Coturnix japonica: one gene and its partner. The protein of the gene in region 1 binds, or shares a complex with, the protein of each later gene. Links are inferred from orthologs where the notes say so. Each region holds a gene or a part of one and is shown in the gene's direction. Other genes may lie near its edges. The genes, in order: HCN2 and PEX5L.

Evidence for each region.
Region 2: the proteins of HCN2 (region 1) and PEX5L are in contact, whole or in part, in a crystal structure (PDB 4EQF), measured with the Mus musculus proteins. The link is inferred for Coturnix japonica from reciprocal best matches to the Homo sapiens genes HCN2 and PEX5L. Residues at the interface, in NP_032252.1 of Mus musculus: Leu859, Ser860, Ser861, Asn862, Leu863; in NP_001156988.1 of Mus musculus: Glu315, Glu317, Val343, Asn347, His426, Asn453, Arg454, Ala457, Thr458, Ala460, Asn461, Tyr472, Arg484, Tyr487, Asn488, Ile491, Ile494, Ile537.

The regions. Positions count from the first base shown.
Region 1 is NC_029543.1:1,785,051-1,794,925, forward strand, and holds the start of HCN2 (potassium/sodium hyperpolarization-activated cyclic nucleotide-gated channel 2), read left to right. Parts: upstream 1-3,482; coding exon 3,483-3,922; intron 3,923-8,406; coding exon 8,407-8,830; intron 8,831-9,875. Other genes in the region: BSG (basigin), read left to right, coding at 113-170. UniProt on the Homo sapiens protein: Hyperpolarization-activated ion channel that is permeable to sodium and potassium ions. Displays lower selectivity for K(+) over Na(+) ions. Contributes to the native pacemaker currents in heart (If) and in neurons (Ih).
Region 2 is NC_029524.1:15,207,568-15,217,477, forward strand, and holds the start of PEX5L (PEX5-related protein), read left to right. Parts: upstream 1-3,458; 5' UTR 3,459-3,804; coding exon 3,805-3,825; intron 3,826-9,910. UniProt on the Homo sapiens protein: Accessory subunit of hyperpolarization-activated cyclic nucleotide-gated (HCN) channels, regulating their cell-surface expression and cyclic nucleotide dependence.

The DNA.
Region 1 (9,875 bases):
AAGCTAACCTCATATTGCTCTATCTCACCCAACTCTTAGTGCACAAACCACACCAGTGGGGCAGGGGTGGGTTTTGGTGCTGCTTTCTTCATCGTCCCTTTTCTATTTGCAGGAAAAGCAATGCCACAAACCACAAGGACAAGAACGTCCGTCAGAGAAATGCTAACTGAGCAGAGGTTAGTGCTGCACCTGGGGGTTCCTGCTGGGTTGGGGCACCCTGGGGACCTGCTGGGTCAGCTTTCCCCTCCCTGCAGCCATGGGCTCATCCTGCTGGTTATAGGGGGCTGTCCTGCATCAAGAAGAGCCTTTAACCCACACTGTAGTGCAAGTGCTTGGGAAGGAGGCATTGCTATGAAGTTCAGGCACAGGCCAGCAGGAGTCTGATAAGGAACTGCTAAATTGGGACAGTGGGAGAGACATGGAATAAAGCATTGGGCTGTACAGCATGGGAGGGTCAGGGCTGCCTGATTCCTCCAGCATGGGGTGGGTTGAGCTCACAGCTTTGCTTAAGGCAGCTGTTGTCCTTATCCTTTATCACCTCCCAGCACAGCCTCGCTGGGTTCCCTAATTTCCTTTTCTTTTCTCTTGCACCAGGTGACGTGTAGCTGAAGAACTTTGTCTGGACATTGTTTTCTTCTCATTTTTCTTTGGTAAAATAGCACCAGGAAATACTTAGCGTGTCCTTCAGTTACTTCACTTTCTACAGGAAATTAAGTCGTAGAATCTAAAACACACCCTTTTTTTTTTGGGAAAAAAGAATAAAAGGAAGAGCTGTGGGAGGGTTTTGGGTTGTTTTTCTACCTGTAAGCATAAATCCCTTTTATTTTCTGGTAGTTTGGATCACTGTCATAGATGTATTTCTTTATGTAGGGGGGTAATGCTTTCTTTCTTACCTTTGGGAAGAGCTGTGTTGGGTAGGATGACTTTGTAATACCTCTGTGTATGAGGAGCAGCAACATCACAGCTCCCTGTGTGCTGCAGGTCAGGAAGAAACTGCTGTAGTAACCTATGGAGATGAGCTGATCTCCCAATGGGCTTAAGAAAGTAACTCTGGGTCTTTCCCAGTGCAGAGCATAGATAGCTGCATCTTTGCATGGCTTGGGAGCAGCCTGCATGGCTTGTAATTGCCAGGCTTCCTGGTCAGCTCCCACAGGGATGCTCTGCGTGATTACAATCAAGCAGGCAACCAGGAAGCAGTGTTAGAGCTGGGCATTGGCTGAGCATGATAATAACTCATTTAATGGGTGGCTGCTGGAATCTTGAGTTGCTACACTGGAGTGAGCAGATGCTGGGGCTGAGGTGCTGGGGGAGAAGGGGGGTTTGCATTGTGTTCTGTTCACATTTGGGGTGACAAAGGAGACTGAGAGCAGATAATAATCAGAGGATTCTTTCTTTCTGGGTAGCACTGAGCTGATCCATCTGTTAACGTACTTCACAAATAAAGATGATTCCTCTCTTTTTTTCCATCTTGGTTTGGACTCTGGTCTCTCTCTTCCCTCCTGGCTGGGCCCCCTGGGTTTGTTATCCTGCTTTGACCCCTGCCTGGCAGCTCTTCATAGAGCACACAAAGGTTTTGGCTCCCAGGGTCTCCTGCCAGCTCTATCTGCTCTCTAATCACAGTGTTACACTGAGTCAGGTTCAAACCCTTCCAAAAGGAGTTAAGTGGAGCTTCCTGAGGAGCACTGCTGTTTTTCTACCTGTTTTCATGGTTCTTGCCCTGCTGTGTGGTTACTCATGGCTCTAAGCAGCTGATGGGCACTGTGTGCATTATGTAGATATGGAGACAAGCCAAAGGGAAGCACACACCAACCCCTTGGGTATGGGCTATGAGCACTGTGGTGTCTTTCCAGGCAAGCTCTGGCTTTTTGCCCTATGGCAGCTGGGCTTGTGGGTTCCTGGAGATTCTGATCTTGTGTTCTCAGTTGTTTGGGTGTTCATCTAACTGTCCAAGCGGGGCTGGGTGAGCAAATGGGCTGCAGCAGGTAGAGGCAATGGGTTACAGTGCAAAAAGCACCAGCAAAAGGCTCAGGAGCCTGAAAGGGCTCTTAAGTTTCATCTGTGTGTTTCCTTTAGGCTGGGAATGAACATACTTAAAGGTGATGGACTCAGCATCAACCACCTGAATACCTGTAGGGAAAGCAATTGGTGCCAATGGCCCTGGCAATAGCTGTGCATGGGGAGCTGCTGGGACTGGTCAGTGCCTGCAATGAAAGGCAGGTGAGGGCAGGCTGGATAAGAGCTGGTAAAAGCAATAAAGCACGGCTGGCTGCTTGACTCCCAGCTGCTGCCTTTGCTGTAATGGGGCTGATGCATGAACATCCTCACTACGAAGTCAAACCCTGTTCTGTTGGGGGGGGATGATTACAGCAGGGCTCTTCCCTTAGTGCTGTGTTGCCTGTAGCTCTGGCAGCCCAGGGCCTTCCTCAAAACGCTGCTGTCTCAGTGTTAGCAGCTCCCATGCCCCGGGCTGACCATGCAGTGTGGCTGTGCTGCACGTCAATGTATTATGCAAGCCCTGGCACAGCCGGCCTCGTGCTTATGGGTGCTGTCCTGGGGGGTGGAGAGAGAGGGGGAAAAAAAAAATCAATGTGTGGCTTAATTTCCTCGTTGAGGATTTGGGACCTGGGCTGCAGCACAAAGCTCTGTTTGTGCCCTTTGTTCTATGGGGCTGGCAATGGGTGAGGAGCAGCTCGGGGTTGGGGGGATGCATGGCTCCGTGCTGCGCTCTGCTGGGCTGCTGTCCCGTTTGTGTCTCTGTCCTGCATTGCTCAGCTGATGGTGTTCCCACCCCATTTGTCCCCGTGTCTCTTGCTCATGTCAGCATGCAATGCTCTGTGTGACTCTGTGTGACTGTGGGGGCTTGGATCAGACAGGGGCAGGTGGGGAATTGAATGATAAAGGTTGGAAAGGACTTGTAATATCACCACATCCCAAGCCATCCCCTCCATGACCATTAACATCCCTCAGTGCTACATCTGCATGTATTTAAACACATCCAGAGGTGATGCCTCCAATGCTTCCCTGGGCAGCCTGTCCCTATTCCATTGCCACTTTCTGAGATGAATTTCTTTCCTAGTATCCAACCTGAACCTAAACCTCATCCTAAAGGCTGCGCTCGAAGGGGCGGCCCCGACTGCAGGTTCCGATCGCGGCTCCCGTTCTATTTGGCCTCTCAGGAGCCGACCCTCTCGTTGCTGATCCCGTGCTCTCCATCCTTCGAACCCTTTGGGCATCTCCATTCGTTGGCCTCGGGGCTGCGCTGAGGGCTCGGGTTGAGCTTCGTCTGTTGCAACGCTGGATGGGAGCGATGTGAGCGCAGCCGGGAGCTGCTCCAGCGGGGGGAGCTGCGGAGCCGCTGCGGTCCCGTCTCCCGGCCCGGCCCTACGACCCGCCCCCGGTCCGCCCCACGGCTCGGCGGCGGGTACCGCTCCGGTACCGCTCGGGTACCACTCGGCCGCCGGTGGCCTCGGCGGCAGCGCACGATGCGATCGGGAGGGGAGGCGGCGGCCGAGGAGGAGGCGGCCGAAGGGGCCAAACGAGGCGGAGGAGCGACCTCGGGGAGAGCGAGGGGCCGAGGGGGAAAGGGATCCCCGAACGGGGAGTGTCGCCGAGGGGAGACGCCGCGCAGCCCCAGCTCCGAGCAGCCCCGGGAGCCCAAGGTCTCCTTCTCCTGCGGTGGTGGTGGTGGCGGTGGCAGCGCATCCCCAGGCGGGGCCAAGGCGGCCGAAGAAGGCGACGATGCGGGCGAGGAGGTTCGGGGGAGCCAAGCCGGGTTCATGCAGAGGCAGTTCGGGGCCATGCTCCAGCCGGGGGTCAACAAATTCTCCTTGAGGATGTTTGGCAGCCAGAAGGCGGTGGAGAGGGAGCAGGAAAGGGTTAAGTCTGCTGGGGTCTGGATCATCCATCCCTACAGCGATTTCAGGTACGTGCCCAGCCGCCCCCCCCCCTCCCCTCTCCTTCCTTCCCTCCCGTGCATCCTCACGGAGCCCCGGGAGCAATTGCGGGTATCGCTGCGGTGGGGCCAGGCTCGAGCATCCCCGGCTCGTCGGGAGGCTTCGGTGAGGGTGGTGGATGGAGAGGGAGAGCGGAGCGTTCCCCCACCGCTTCAGGTTGGGAAGAGGAGGAGGAGAAGGCCGTGCCGTGCCCTGGAGAGGGCACCTTGAGCCGTGCTGGAGGTGGAAGCGGCGGATGCGGCCGCGTGGATGCAGGGAGGGGCTGGAGATGGGCATCCACCTCCTCGGGATCCATCCGGGGATGCCAGGAGCTCTCTGCTTGCCCGGTGGGTGCCCGCACAAGGGCATCCTCTCGTCCTTTGCAGGGCCTCGGAACGGCTCAGCAAGGCAAGGAGACGCTGGAGATCCCGCGGGGGTTGGTTGGGCTCTGCCCCTGTGGCTGTCATTGCGGGGGCTGAGGGGGGAGGTGGAACAGAGCACCCTGGGGTCCTTAAGCCCTGCTATCCTGCTGCAACCTCCACGGCCATGCACAGCTTTGGGAAAGCTTCCCTTCCCCCAAGGAGGCCCAATCCCATCCCTAAGATTCAATGAATATGAAGAGATATTCGTTTTGTTCCCAGGAGGAGCAGTGTCCCCGAGGTGCAGCTTCCAGCTGAGGAATGGCAAAGCCTGGAAGAAAGGTCGTGCAGCACCAGCTTGTGTCCATCTCCCTAATGGGGAGAGATCAGCAGGGAATGCTTGGAGGCTCCCATGGGGATGTAAAGGAGGGACAGCACAACCCTTTTAGGGATGGGAAGCTGAGATCCTGCTGACATCCTTGGCAAGCGAGGCTGATGGGAGCCCCTTATCCAGTGACTGGCCAAAGGCAGGGGGCCAGCAGGCAGCTCAGCACTGAGTCCCTCTGCACTTTCCTAGTGCTTGGAGGGCTGCACTACAGGGCGAGTGAGCATCTGTTGGGGTTCTGTTGAATCCCCTGTGATGCAGAGGTCCTCAGGGCAGTGGAGGAGGCTGTGGAATGAGAGTCTGTGCTGACCAGACAGGATTATGGCAAGGACCAACGCCTGCATCTCTTGGGTCCTGGCCTCACGATGGCTTCTGTGCTGCTCTGCATCCTCTGAGGTGCAAGCAGGGGCAGCTGGAGGCTCCAGTTTGCTCTCCTTGTACACACAGTCGTGCAGCCACGGGGCTGATATTCCTGCCCAGATCCCACTGCGGGTGCTGCCCCTCCTTGCTGCAGAGTCAGGGTGTGAGTGCTGCGTGGCTTTGCCGGTCACAAGGGTGCTCTCATGGGGGCTGCACCATCCTGCTGTGACCACCTTTATCCCCAAGCCATGTGGGTTCCCCATCAGCCATGGGTGTTCCTGGGGAGCTGACTCTGGTTTTCACCTCTCTTAGTCTCAGGGCTCTCAGGAATAGGGTGAATGTGTGGCCTCACTGTCCCCATGCTGACAGTGCTGGTGTGACATCAAGCTGGCATCACTCAGAGCTGGATCCTCTCTGCAGGCGACCTTGGGGGTGTCACCCTGCCACTCTGTCCCCTCCCAGAGCTTCTGCCATTGAAACCACTGGGGCAGAGCTCCTGTGTGTGCTGTGATGCTGCATGTGGCATATAAGAGTTCCCTGCTTGGTGGGGAGGAGCCACGAGGAGAACCAATGCGTTATCCCCAACCTAACAATGTGCAAAATAAACAAGATTGGTTCAGTGTGGGGCTGGGAGCTCAGCAGTGAGGAGCCCACTCCACTCATGCATGCTTGGTACGTATGCCTATGTATTTCACATCGTTCCCATCAATGTATATATAGATATATATATATGTGCTATCTGATAATGATAATGGGAACATGGACACATCCATGTTTGCCCTGTTCAAAGCCCATTTTCTTATCTTAAGATATAACCATTGCCCATCTGCATATGTGACATCATTTCATAATCAGAGGCATTTGGAGGTCTGTTTCCTCGTGGACTCAGCAGTGATTATTCATGCAGAATTTAGGGGCAGATTTGCTCCGGGAACAAAAGTGGCTGTTTACATAAATACTGAATTATTAGGAAGCAGCACGGGTGGCTGTTTGAGATCATGGGCTGCAAATCTGATCAAAGAAACCTCATCCATCGTGCAGGAGGTAACGTTGAGCAGAGCCACCTCATTGCTGGGCTCTGTGATGGGTTGTCATTTCTCCTTCTGGTCTATAGGGATGGAGGAAATAAAGGGCAGGCAATGATGTTAACATGAGCTCTGTGTTTTTGTGTAGCTTGAGTTGGAGCAGGGCTGGGAGTCAGGGTCAGTTGTGGGCTAAGCTTTGCAGTGAATCTGGGTTTGCTGTTGAACCAGGTGCTGTATTTGCATCCTGATAAGGACCTGAGTGAGTGTCTCATGGCTGGGGGTTGGAACTGGAGGAGCACAGTGTTTTTTGCAGCAGGATCAGGGAGCTGTGGGGTGCTGGGGGTCCCTTCCCATTGGAGACATGAATGAGCTCAGTAGGATCCTTCAGCCCCAGAAGGAGGGCTCAGCCTTGGAGCTGCATTAGTAACATGAGCTGCACGCAGGGGTGGTTCATTGGATCACGATGGACCCTGCTGCCCTCAGCATCACTTTGCCTGCTGCTGCTGTTGGCTTTCTGCTCCCTGTGCCCAGTGCAGGGCTGGCACTGTCTGCTGCCACCTCCCTCATGCTGGAGTGAAATGGCTCCTGCTGCTCCACTGCTGGCTGCCAGCTGTGTGCCCTGCAGGGTGACCTGGCCTTGCTCTGAATCCCAATGGGAACAATGTAAATGCCACTGCTAGGTGCTTGCTGACGATCCCACTGTTAATTATCCCCGATGACAGCAGCTGGGAACAGGATGAATGTGAGCACAGCAGACCTGATGGATGGCTGAAAGCCACAGCTTACTCATCAGGAAAAAAAGGCTGTGACTGCCTGCCTGGGGGTGACTTTACAGGTTGGTGCCTTTGAGCATTTTGCAAATATAATATACAATATATGCCTCTGCTTGGGCCCAGCTCCTGGTGGTGGCTTCGTAACCCACTTTTCCACGTGTCCTCAATTCGAAGGAACTTTGTATATTTGTGACAGGTTTGTGAATCGCTGCTCCCGCTGTGTGAGCTGTGATGCCTGCACGGTCCCTGTAGTGGTTGCATTCTGTGCTGGGGCAATAGAAGTGAATGGGGACATCCCCTACCCTCTCTTCCCATTGGGGATGGGGTCCTGGGCTCCTTTAGCTGCTGCTGGTGGTGGGTTGGGGCAGCTGATGGAGTGAGGACAGGCACTATACCCACCCTCAGTGTCTGCCAGCATCTCCTGTGGTTCAATTAGGTCAGAAGTAAAGGAGATGGGGGAGGTAGGGGGGGGCAAGGATCCTAATTAATTTATTTTGGGATATTTTTAGCAACCTGGACTGAATCTTATCTTTTATGCACACGCTGCCCTCCAAAGAACAAAGCATTGGTGTTGCAGCAGGGGTTGCTCGGGATCAGCCCTGTCTCTATTGGGTTGAGACTGTCTCTGTTAAGGTGCTCAGGACCAGTTGCTCTTTCCAGGCCCTCATTCCCCTCTATGGGGTCCTGCAACCTCAGCATCGCAGTAGAGCCTCGGTGCCCCCCACCCACTCACCATCACCCCCCCTATGTCACCAAGGGCTGCACTGTTCCAGCAGCCAGATCTGGTCCTTGGGGTTGGCTGTGAAGGGAAGAGCACAGCCTGTCCCTTTCAGGCTGCCAGCTTGTGGAGGGGCACTGGGTGTGAAGTCATGGTTGTGCAGCAGTGACATCACTTGTGGTTGCCATGGCTATGTCTCACATGGGGAAGGTGTCATTGGAGAAAGGTCACAAGCTGGGATATGCTCAGCTCCTTCCAACCCTATACCAAGTGCGGGGGGAAGGTGGGCAGCTTGGCCCCGCATGGAGCTGCAGCCCTGACAACAACGGGGCTGAATGTCCTGCTGTGACCTTGGTGCATGCAGGAAGGACATGGGCGGAAGGATGAGAGCCAGGAGAAGTGGGGGGCTGAGGCAGCAGTGATGCAGAAGGGAGGGGGAGGCATTTTGATCACTCCTTCCTTGTTCTCCCTCCTTGCTCCAGCTGCAGCTGGACGTGACCATCTGCTGTTCCCCCCCCTACACACCCCTGTAGAGTCCCCCATTGGGTTCTGGCAGGGATGTGGAGTGCTGGTGCTTGAGGTTCCCCAGCCATAATAACCCACTCTCAAGGTCTCCCCAAATTGCTTCAGAGCTTGTCTGGCTTTTGGTGCTGACTCAGTCAGACCCCACAGCCCTGAGACCCCACACTGCACCCATTGCACTGCACAGCCCCATAGCAAAGTGCTTCTGGGCCTGGAAGTGGTACAACCTCAATTCATCCCTTGGGGACTTGCAGCTCCTGCCACCATCCATAAGGACACGACATTGCCATATTGGGGTCCAGTGATCCCCTCCCTCCTCTGTGCCCCTCCAGGTTTTACTGGGATTTCACCATGCTGCTCTTGATGGTGGGCAACCTGATCATCATCCCCGTGGGCATCACCTTCTTCAAGGATGAAAACACTACCCCATGGATTGTCTTCAACGTGGTTTCGGACACGTTCTTCCTGATCGACCTTGTCCTCAACTTCCGAACTGGCATCGTGGTGGAGGACAACACCGAGATCATCCTGGACCCTGAAAGGATCAAGAAGAAGTACCTCAAGACGTGGTTCGTGGTGGATTTTGTCTCTTCCATCCCTGTGGATTATATCTTTCTCATTGTGGAGAAGGGCATCGACTCGGAGGTGTATAAAACAGCCCGTGCTCTCCGCATTGTCCGCTTCACTAAGATCCTCAGCCTGCTGCGCCTGCTGCGGCTCTCCCGTCTCATCCGCTATATCCACCAGTGGGAAGAGGTAAAGGCTGCTGGGCTGGGGGCATCTGGGGCCAGAGGGATATATACAGAGGTGTATATACAGACAGGAAGGTGCTGGCTTTGAGAGTAACCCTGCAGGGAAAGACGTGAGGGGTTCTGGTGGGGGTAGGACTTAACGTGAGGCAGCTGGGTGCTCTTGTAGCTCAGAGAGCAAATGGGATCCATCAGAAGCAGGGATAGGGAAGTGATTGTCCCTCTCTGCTCTGCCCTCATGAGGACCCATCTGTAGTGCTGTGTTGAGGTCTTGGACCCCAATATAAGAAAGACAGGGAGCTGTTGGAGAGGGTCCAGAGGAGGCCATAAGGATGCTCAGAGGGCTGCAGCACCTCCCCTGCAGAGATGGGATGAAGGAGCTGGGCTTGTTCAGCATGGAGAAGGCTGCGGGGTGACCTCATTGCAGCCTTCCAGTATTTAAAGGGAGCCTATAAACAAGAGGGGAGTCAACTCTTTGAAAGGGTGGATAACAGCCGGACAAGGGGAAATGGTTTTAAGTTGAAGGAAGGAAGATTTAGGTTGGATATCAGGGGGAAGATCTTTACTCTGAGAGTGGGGAGGTGCTGGAACAGCTGCCCAGAGAGGCTGTGGATGCCCTGTCCATCCCTAGAGGTGTTCAAGGCCAGGTTGGATGTGGGCCTGGGCAGCCTGGACTGGTATTAAATATGGAGGTTGGCAGCTCTGCCTGCATTGGGGGGGTTGGAGCTTCACGATCCTTGAGGTCCCTTCCAACCCAAACCATTCTATGATTCTATGGATGCTCCAAACAGCACCAGCACCTCAGGGATGCCCCAGGAGGGACTTGAGGTGACATCCCTGAGGGTCCCCACCACCAGCCCTCCTGTCTGCCCCTGCCATGGGTCCAACTCTTTCCCCTTTTCACTTTCAAAAGGGGAAGCAGCACAGAGAACCCTGCGGATGAGCCGAGCCAGCGCGTGGCTTAGCAGATTATCCTGATAATCACATCTGCTTACAAAGGGATGGAAGGGGAGGGCAGCCAGACCTGGTGTGCCTTGGGTTGTGCAGCCCTT
Region 2 (9,910 bases), on another chromosome or scaffold:
ACTGAACAAAGCAGCAAATCTGTGTCTTTATGACCAAACATATGTTCCCATTGGGTGCTGGCAACAGAATCCATTGCCATACACGAGAAATACCAAACGGTTCAGAGAATCTCACACTGCACAGCAGAGCAGTGGAGACAAAAACTGGCTGTGCACGCACAGAACTGAGTTCCCCAAAGTTCTCTCTTAAAGTTTTGTTTCTGGAGCTGCAGGAACGCAGCATATCACAGGAAACAGCTGCCTCCAATGGCACTGAAAATCACTCTCAATTTCACCCTCTTCCATTGAGCACTTTTCATTGCACACAGCTTATAGCTATGGGAACTTCTCCTTCAGATTAACTGCGTCCCACATTCAGAAAGGTGTCCCTGCTGGAGAAGAGCACTTCAGTAGATGTTTCACACTGAGTATACATTTGCTACATTTCCTACACTAGAACATTCAGGTCTGTGTATGGTTGCGTGGCTTCCCTAACAAAAATTGTGACTTGCCCTTGCTGTGTGGTATCTTGCCATAGAAAACACAGACTCATTCATGTTAGTTTGTTAATGACAAATACTGTGACACTAGTTATTAACCTGGAGCCTATGTGCTTCACCTTTTGTGGTTTCAGAGCTGATGAGATAAAACTATTTCTTAGATGTCCTGGATGAAATAAACATTAGTAAGGCCTAAAAGAATGAAATACCAGCAGCTATCGAAAATCAAAATGCCTCCCAGTGGGAGTTAAATGTCAGCTTCTTGATGGTAATGAGGTAACTACCAGAACCTCCAAAAACACCTTGGGCAGGTCTGTAAATGCTCTCACAATCCCATTGTCATCCCTAGGCTTCCTGATTACCCTCATTGCCCCACATAAGTACTTGAAAACAAATTCTGAGCATTTATTTGTGAAATAAAGGATTTTTATTTGACTTTTAGCTAATTTTCCCCCATCAGTTTAATATTAATTAAAGTCTGTTGAGCCATATGGTGACTCTTCTTTAACAAACATTATGACTTTCATATTTTTCACCATGGTTTTTCCCATTTTTGCCATAACAAACAACAAAGCTTAGAGAGCTCACAGCACACAGATATCACTGGTTCAAGTCTTATTGCAGGCACACAAACTGCTATTAAAGGAACACAACAGAAAAAATGCTTTTCACAGAAACAAATGTTTTTAAAGCATTTTATGCAAGCAAACCCTGCGTAATTAAACATGCCCTATAACAAAACAGACCTTTACGCAGAGCAGAGTCACAAACAGCATGGATGCTGGCATTCACCATTTTCAAAGCTGCAAAGCCCTTATATTACACACCAGAACTGCAAACTAATATTTTCTGCCCCACATCCTGTGGCACATTTTTGATATTTTTATTTATAACTAAGCATTAATTATTATGCATCAGTTTCAGATTAGGAAGAGACAGAGAGAAAAACATGCTTAAGCTTAAGCTTCCTCTGGTGAATATAGCTGGAGCAACAGCAGTTTACAACTGGGGAAGCACGGTGCAACATGTACGTGATTTGCACTGAAGGATATTTAAAGAACAGCTCTTGGAGCAGAAACTGCTGCCATTCAACCAGTGATGCACACCCCCCCCCACTGCTTCCCCACTGCTCTGACTGCTGCTGTGTAACCTATTCCTCTTACTGTCTGGTGCCAAGTGACTTGAGTTCCCTGCTGAAAAGAAAGCCAGAAGCTGGATCCACCTGACATTCCTGGGTCCACCTGATCCTGAAAAATGCAGCATCAGTATGCCACTGTATCAACAAATGGAGCAACCAGTGCAGCCACTTCTGCTGAATAAAGAAAAAAAACCTACTTCAAAACACACTATGCTACAAAACCTCACATCTAGCACTGGGTCTTGCCAAATTTTACCAGTGTTTGCCTGGGAGGAAGGATGGAAGGGGGGCAGGAAGGAAAGGAGAAAGGAGGGAAGGAAGAAATCTTCAAAGAAAGCTTGTGAACCAGCTCAATGAGAGCAAAAAGAGTGCAGACACACGACGACTAGAGGCTTGAGAGCCTAACGCCTCTCTGTTTAACAAACAGCAGAGACACCAAGGCTCCAAGTTTATATAGAAGCAGCTAATTTTCATCTACACTTATCTTCTACACTGAGCACAGGGACTTCTCTTTGTAAAATCTATATTCTATATTTTATACCTTAAGTCAAACCACAATAATTCACATCCAATCTTGCCACTGATATGCAGTCAATTTCTGTATTACAAAGTAGCATTTCACAGTAAAATACATCTAATGCATACAGACAATCCCCAGAAACATATTTTAAGCGCATTTGCTCTTAATTGAGGTTTTCAAAGTAGCTTAAGGGATTTAGGTAGAAAAATATTCATTTTGCATTTCTTTTTTATCATCAACACATGAATAAACTCTCAGGCTGCATGAAAACCTTGGCAAGCTGGATGCACATTCATTGGATGTAAGACAACTGCCTCCTTTGCTATATGAAGGATAAAATGATAAGGTTAAGCAAAAGAAAAGGCTAGATTTTGCTGGTGCCATTCCTGATGACTTTACAAATCCCACCCCTTCCACACACCTTTCCCCCTCTCCCCTCCCCCCTTTTTTAGTTAAATATGAACATTTCAGTAAAACTGTGACTATACAGATGTGACAGCTCCAGGAATGAGAAACCTACTTTACACTGCTCTAATAGCAGAAGATGCTTGGGGTTAGTTTGCTGTGGTCACTCCGACGCAACATAAAAGTTCTGGGGAGTTTATCAGCAAAACTAGAGAGCTCAGAGCCGAAAAATCACAGCATCCAGCAAATGTCAGGCACTGAATGCTTATTGTGCTACTGAATACAGGTACGTCTACACCTACATTTTTTATCACATTGGAAGTTAAAGGTCTGAGGAAAGGGAAAGGGAAAAAAAGCTCGATCCAAGGCAAGGTGAGCAGCAGCTTCAGGACGCCGCAGGCCCGATGTGCCAGTTTACATACAAGGTCACCGCGCTGCTCCGGGACACCCAACTCTCCCCGCACCGCAGCAGCAGCTGCACGGGGGAGCGGGGCGGCCGGGAGGGGCGGGGCGCTCCGACTTTTGGTGGTGCTGTCACGCTTACGTTTTGACACGTACACGTATATTTCATTTCAATTTTTAAAAAAAATTTAATATTATTATTTTAAGCGTTATCGCTACTCTTTATATTCCTTGCTGCAGCGGAAGCCCGCAGGCCCCAGCGGGGCTGCAGCTCCCCGGGACCCGCTTCGCTCCGCGGGCTCCGCGCGTCCCCCGGAAGCCGCGCGCTCCCTCTGCGGCCGGAGGGAGGCAGGGAAGGAGGGAGGAAGAGTGAGAGGAGGAGAAGAGGAGGAGGGCGGCGGAGGCCGGGGCCGGGCGGGGCGGCGGCAGCATCGGGCCGAGCCCAGGCCCGGCAGCGGGCGGCCCCGCTCCGCCCCGCGGCGCTCCCCGCCCGGCGGCCCCGCAGCCGCCGCCGCCGCGGCCCGGCCCGCCCTGCCCTCCCCCCAGCACCCCGCGAGGAACAGCTCCGTGCAGCTTGCGGCACCGCATTGAAGGGGGAGAGAGGGAGAAGAGAGACGAGAGGGGAGGAAGGAGGGAAGGAAGCAGCCCGCCTGGTCGGGTTACCGAGAGCAATACGGGAGCTTCCAGGACAAACTGAATCTTTCCCAAAAATAGCTCTTCCAGGGTTAGGCTCTTTTTTTCTTTTATTCTTTTTTTTTTTTTTTTTTTTTCCCTTTCAGCCGAGCGCACAGGAGAGGTGCCCCCTCCCAGCGTGCACCCGACCCGCCGGCCTGAGGGGCACCCGCAGCACAGCCGGCAGAATGTACCAGGGCCACATGCAGGTAAGAGGCTGCACGCAGCCGGACAGCAGCAGCAGTGCAGGCGGCTCCGCCGGAACGGGTCCCTGCGAAGTTTCCGCGGGGTGAGCGGGGGGTGTGGAGGGGGATGGCACAGGGCACCGTGCAACAAGTGAGACGGGGCCGAGCGAGGGGGACAGCGCGCCTGGGGGCAGCTCTGCTCAAAGGGGGAGGGCGGCAAAGGGGCGCGCTCAACTTTCTAACTAGATGAAGTTGTGTATTTATTGATGTATAGTGCCTGCTTGTTCACACAGATTCGAGGGAGCATTCCAGGGCAAACGCTGCTATGGCACGCTTTAAGTGACACATGGCTCTTGCCATCTTCTTGATGCATCTCTTCCTGTATGTCAAGTGAAGGACAAACAATAAGGGAAAAGACAGAGCACTTGCTTTGCAAAATCTGCAAAGATTTCATGTCACACTGAAGCTGTTGATTTGCACAATGTGTTGTGTTAAAAGGTGATGGATTTCTATTTCCTCCTTCCCAACGTGGGATGAGGATTGATTTTGCTAAGCCCTGGAATGACTTTGTAGAGTGAATTTCAAACACATGTCTAAGTGACTTCAACATTTGAGGCAGAAATCTTGCCTCCTGCTGCTATTGATCCACAGTGCCATAGCAGACAATGCCTCTCCCAAATAAAAACACACGGGTGCCTTGGACGTGATGACTTTAACCTTGGCTCCTGCTCTCCTTCACATGGCTCTTCCCTGGAAAGCCAAAGCTATTTTGAAGGAGAAGGACATGCCAAAGCAGAGCAAAGGTTTACACAGCTCTCCCAAATTTCTTTCTTTGCTTTCAGACCCAATCTGGGTCTGCACTCACTGTGAGGAATGACAAGATGCTTTTATCATGTACAGTGGCACCGGTGGCGTTTGTTAGTACTGAGGCTGTTTGCAGAGCACTGCCGCTCTGGTAGGTGTGAGCTGCCCCCTTCTCTTTGGTGCAACTGCACAGCATTTAAAACCTGCCAGTGGTCATCAGGAACATTCAAGTCAATGTCAAACACAGGAGTGTGGACATAATATGTGTTAAACGAGGATTTGATTCAGCACTCTGACCCAAATGATACCAGTTACTCTTTCATGTTGGTGCTGCCTGATTTCAACAATGATAAATAACGTGTCACAAAGGAGCTTGCCATAGAAGAGCAAATATGTTTTAACAGGAGATGCAATCAATATACATTTTGCTATTTATGATAATAAGATTAAAGCATGCATTGTTTTATGGTAACACAAAAACAATCCTGTTGCAGAAGTTAATGAATTGGATACTGACAAATAAGTATTTATACCCAGAAGAAAGCAGTTCTTTGCTATGGCCAATACACCACAAGGTTTCAACATACAACACTTTTTAAAAGGAAGTGTAGTGGAACACTGAGGTCCCTGGCAACCTTGTAAGCTGTCTCCATCATTAAAAGGCCAAATCAAATTTGCAATTAAAAAACAAACAAACAAAAAACAACAGCTCAAAACACCCTTTCATTTTTGTTTTCTTTCAAAATACATTCATAGCTCAAATGTAACCCAATCCTATCCAAATTCACTTTACAACTTAGCTGATTTAAAATGCTATTCAGATCCACTGCACTTGTCTGCTAAAAAAATAGGAACTCAGCTGAGCACATAAGCCAAGGTTTTTAATATATTTCTGCCCTAACAGGAAACATCAATCTTCTTCAAAAACCACCTAAAAAAAGCTTAAAGCATTAGGAAAAATGTTTGTGTTTACTATATCCTTAATTAGAGCCTTTAAGTGAGTCACAGAAAAGACAATAAAGAGCTAATTAAATTGCAGTGAAATTATCTACTGTAACATTTATTAAACCTCATTAGAACGCAAACTGCCAGTTACCTACAAGCACAGTACCCAACCATTGCTAACCAAAACACAGACACGTCCCAGGCATGACAGGTCCCTTCTGAACACCTTCCAAAACTTTTTGTAAGACCTTTACTAATGTAAGGAAAACTATTTGCAATTACCTGTCAATGTAAAATGAATGCGAACTATAAAACCATTCAGATTTGAGTGGATTAAGTTAGGCACCTAAGTCAATAATACCTGAACTCGTTAATAACAATAATCTGGGTTATCAAGGCTCTGAGCACTCACAGCTTCCGCTGCTTTTGAATGAAATCCTAACTGAGCACCTAAGCATCAAGTGTTACGTATCCTGTTGAAAAGCATGCAGATACATAAAGGTTGACCCCACACACTTTAAGGCGAAAGTTCTTCTGAATGTACAGTGATCAAATTTAGGATCTGATTTAGAATGCCAGCTGTCATTTCCTTTATTCCTTGTGTTTTGGTCTCAGAAGTAAGGTCTGCAGAAATTACTCCTCAATATAATTAGTTAAAAACTTTACAAAGCCAATATTTTATCAATGACCAGCTGTAACTCAGCTAATTCTTCCAGGTCTTCTAAAAACTGAAAACATTATCAACTATCACAACATAATGAACATAATTTCCTCAGACTGCAAACCTGCCTCAAACAGGCATCAAGCATTGTGAGCTTCAGTGGAGCATTTCTGAGTTCAGTGAATTCTGCAGGTGTAGGTGAAATATACTTTGTGTACTGCTGAAGTCACCTGAAATGAAGACATTTGAAGCACTATACTGCATCAGGCCATAGTAAGTGCATCTCTTCTTAAATTTTAGTTTGCAGTACGTTGTTTTTTCTCAGTCTCAGGAAGATACTTGGCTTATCCTGAGGACCTAGGCTTACATTTCCCACTTATAAGTCAATCTTCACAATACAGAAACACTATTTCTAAGCTAAAATCCCAGACAGAGGGGAAAAAAAAACAAAAACAACAGAATAAGGCAATAACCTCACAAGAAGGTGTTACTGGCTCAGCCACTGACTCGATATTCCCCGGTACCGTTCTTAAGGGTTGGTTTCTGATTCCTTCTGCACTGCATGCTTTCACATAAAAGACCAGGAGAAAAGCAACGGCCTTCCACAGAGGCAAGAAACAGAAACAGGATGCAAGGAAGAACACTGCCATGGGAGCTCCCTCACAGCTATTACTCTATCACAACCATTTCATTTTGGTGTACTGTTTACCAGCCTGTTTGTTTCATGTGGCTGAAGCTTGAGCCTTCATGGCAAGGCTTTTGCATGATAAGAACCTGAGATTAGCTGTGCATACCTCCAGTTACATAAGCAGCCCTACTGAATTCCAGGAAAGTCAGATGTTGACAGGACAAAGGCTGATGGCTACAGGGTAATACCTAAGTTACACTTCAGGTAACACCTCAGCAGTTCTAGGGGCCCTCCTGCCTTTTTTGGGATTACAGAGATACGTGACTCCAAATCTGAACTGCACAGGTGAAGGAGAGAGTATTTCTTTACTAGGGCACGTTTACCATCTTCTTCAAGGGAACAATAGCAGGCCAGATGGAAGCAGAACATGAGCTGAGTTCATCCCACAGTCACTGCTCTAAAATGTCTATCATTTTAACAACCAACAATAATACATTTAAAATTTTTCACAGTGTATTTTATACTTGGTATCAATCCCTCCCATTGACTTTTATGATAGCTCTACAAATGGATGGAAAGTAAATGACAATCATAGAATTGGATTTTCAGCAGCTTTCAGCTTCTTAGGAAATACAGAAGAAATGCTTTCAAACCTCTTTGCCTTGATGCTGTACACAGTCAGCTTTCTCCAGCACAAATGCTTGAACAGAAGAGGTGCTTTGCCAAATGCTGGCATGGGATTTTATGTGTTATGTTTGGAAATGGCTTTATTTAGATAAAGCAGAAATCTTGACCACACATGGCTATCAGAGTGAGTTCCTTTGGCACGTTTTTGCAAGAACAGACTCAAAGTGATGATGTGTTGGCCAAGTTCCAGATCAGACAGTTAGTCTCCTCAACTTTTAATTGAATATGCAATCAACTTCATGCCCATAATTGTTGGGTTGCGTTCTGCACTGTTAAAGATACTTAATGTTCTACCATTGGCATTTCACATTTAGATGAAGCCAACCATAATGATCACTCACATTTCTGTAAAATCTCATTATTTAAGCCCAAACATGCAGGACTGCAGTAGGTCTATGAAAAAATCACCATGTATGCATGACAATTCTTGCATAATTAAACTTCAGGGGCTCAACGCGTTTTATTGCACACAAAAAGTGTTGATAAATATTTTAGAAGTTATAAAATACATTTTTGCTCTGATTTCCCAACACTTAAGACACAGTTTCCTCACTGGGAAAAGTGGAGCAGAATGTCACAGAATTAGTTGCTGATGCAAGTCCCATCTTTGCTTATTTGGTACCTATTAAAAATACTGTAACAGCATTGGTTGCACTACTTAAAATAAGTAAAACTCAAGCTATTCATCAATTATGGTTACAAAAATGGAATTGCTCAGCTATGCACTTTGTACATGAATAAAGCAGCCCATAAAAATATGCACAATGTAGAATTGAATTCAATGCTAAATTGAATCTTTGTTCAGCTGTTAAGATCAACAGAAACTTAATGACTTTAAGCTACAAAATTCTACAAGTCTGAGCATGAGCTGGAATGCCAACTGATCCCTAGCGATGTGGATGAATCATAACTCCCAGCCTTACTGAAACTCCATTATGATAAACTGATGATTTTTCATTATTCAAACGTTTTCTAAAAGTACTTACAATACTATGGCAGTGTTTATGGTGGCAGGTTTTCCGTTTTGTTTTGATATTTTCCAATTACTCACTAGTAGCTTTTCAGTTTTTGAAGAGTGGATTATAAACTGCTTATAAATGAAGCAAGCTAAAAATAATGAGTTAGTTTTCATTGAAAGATATTCATACAAAGAGAGTAGGTGATAAACTGCTTTTGGCTAAGAGGCATACCGAAATTATACGAATGCAGAGTATTTGCAGTGCTGGTATGGAAAAGCATTCCTTGAAGCTGCTAGGCAGTCTTACAAGAACCCAGTAGAAAAGCTTACAAAAGGCACATAAGCTCATGGAATTCAGTGTATTTTTGCTGGAAGGGAATTAAGAGGGACTCTTGGAATCAAGAGAAATCCTAAATTGTAAGGGACCCACAAGGATCATTGAGTCCATCTCCTGGTTCCACACAGGACCACCCAAAATCCAAACCCCGTATCTGAGAGCATGTGTCCAGTCACTCCCTGAGCTCCATCAGGCTCAGTGCTGTGACCACATATGTGGGAAGCTTGTTCCACACCCACCATGCTCTCATCAAGAACCTTTTCCCAATGCTCAGCCTGACCCTCCTCTGACACAGCTCCAAGCTGTTCCTTTGAACCTTGCATATTTATCTAAATGATATTCTATTTCAAATATGTAGCTTTCACAAAAGAGGCACTGTTTGCTTTTCTAAAATCCACATTATTCATTTATTTATTTTACAATCTACCACTATTTTCACAATTCATAATAGCATGATGCAGAGGGTAGCTCTTTAGACTTACAGAAGCCCAGATTTTATCTCTGCTTCCAAGATCTACCTTTGCTGAGACACCCTCCATATATCCATTACTGAGCATGTGTGTTAGGCTTGAATAGTGATTATCATTTATTTATTTACTTATTTTAAACCATGATTTTAAATATTCTAAAATGCACTGGCAGAACTATTATAGCCAAGGTTTGATCAGCAGTAGAAAAACACTCCGCTGCATGGAGACTTACACTGATTTTACTGGAAGAGTTCAGGCAAAATTACTCAAACACTTTAAATTTTTACAATGAAGCTTTAGGTTTCTAAAAACTAAACCACAATCCATTAATGCAGTTTCAATGTATATGCATAGATATTTTTATCTACATTGATATCAACAATTCATAAATCAATGCTGACTGCTGTTAGGCAACGGAAAATCAGCCTGCCCAAGGTTTGTGTTAGCATGTGTCTTAGTAAATATATTTGCTTTGCATACACTGTCTATTTCAGAGAGTCTATTTTGATTACTTTGCCCTATAATTATTTGAAAGCATAAGCTTACACATATTTGAAGGCTAATTAGTTTAATGGGCTCCACTGTTAATAGAGCAAGTAGAGAAAGGCAAGCCAGCAGC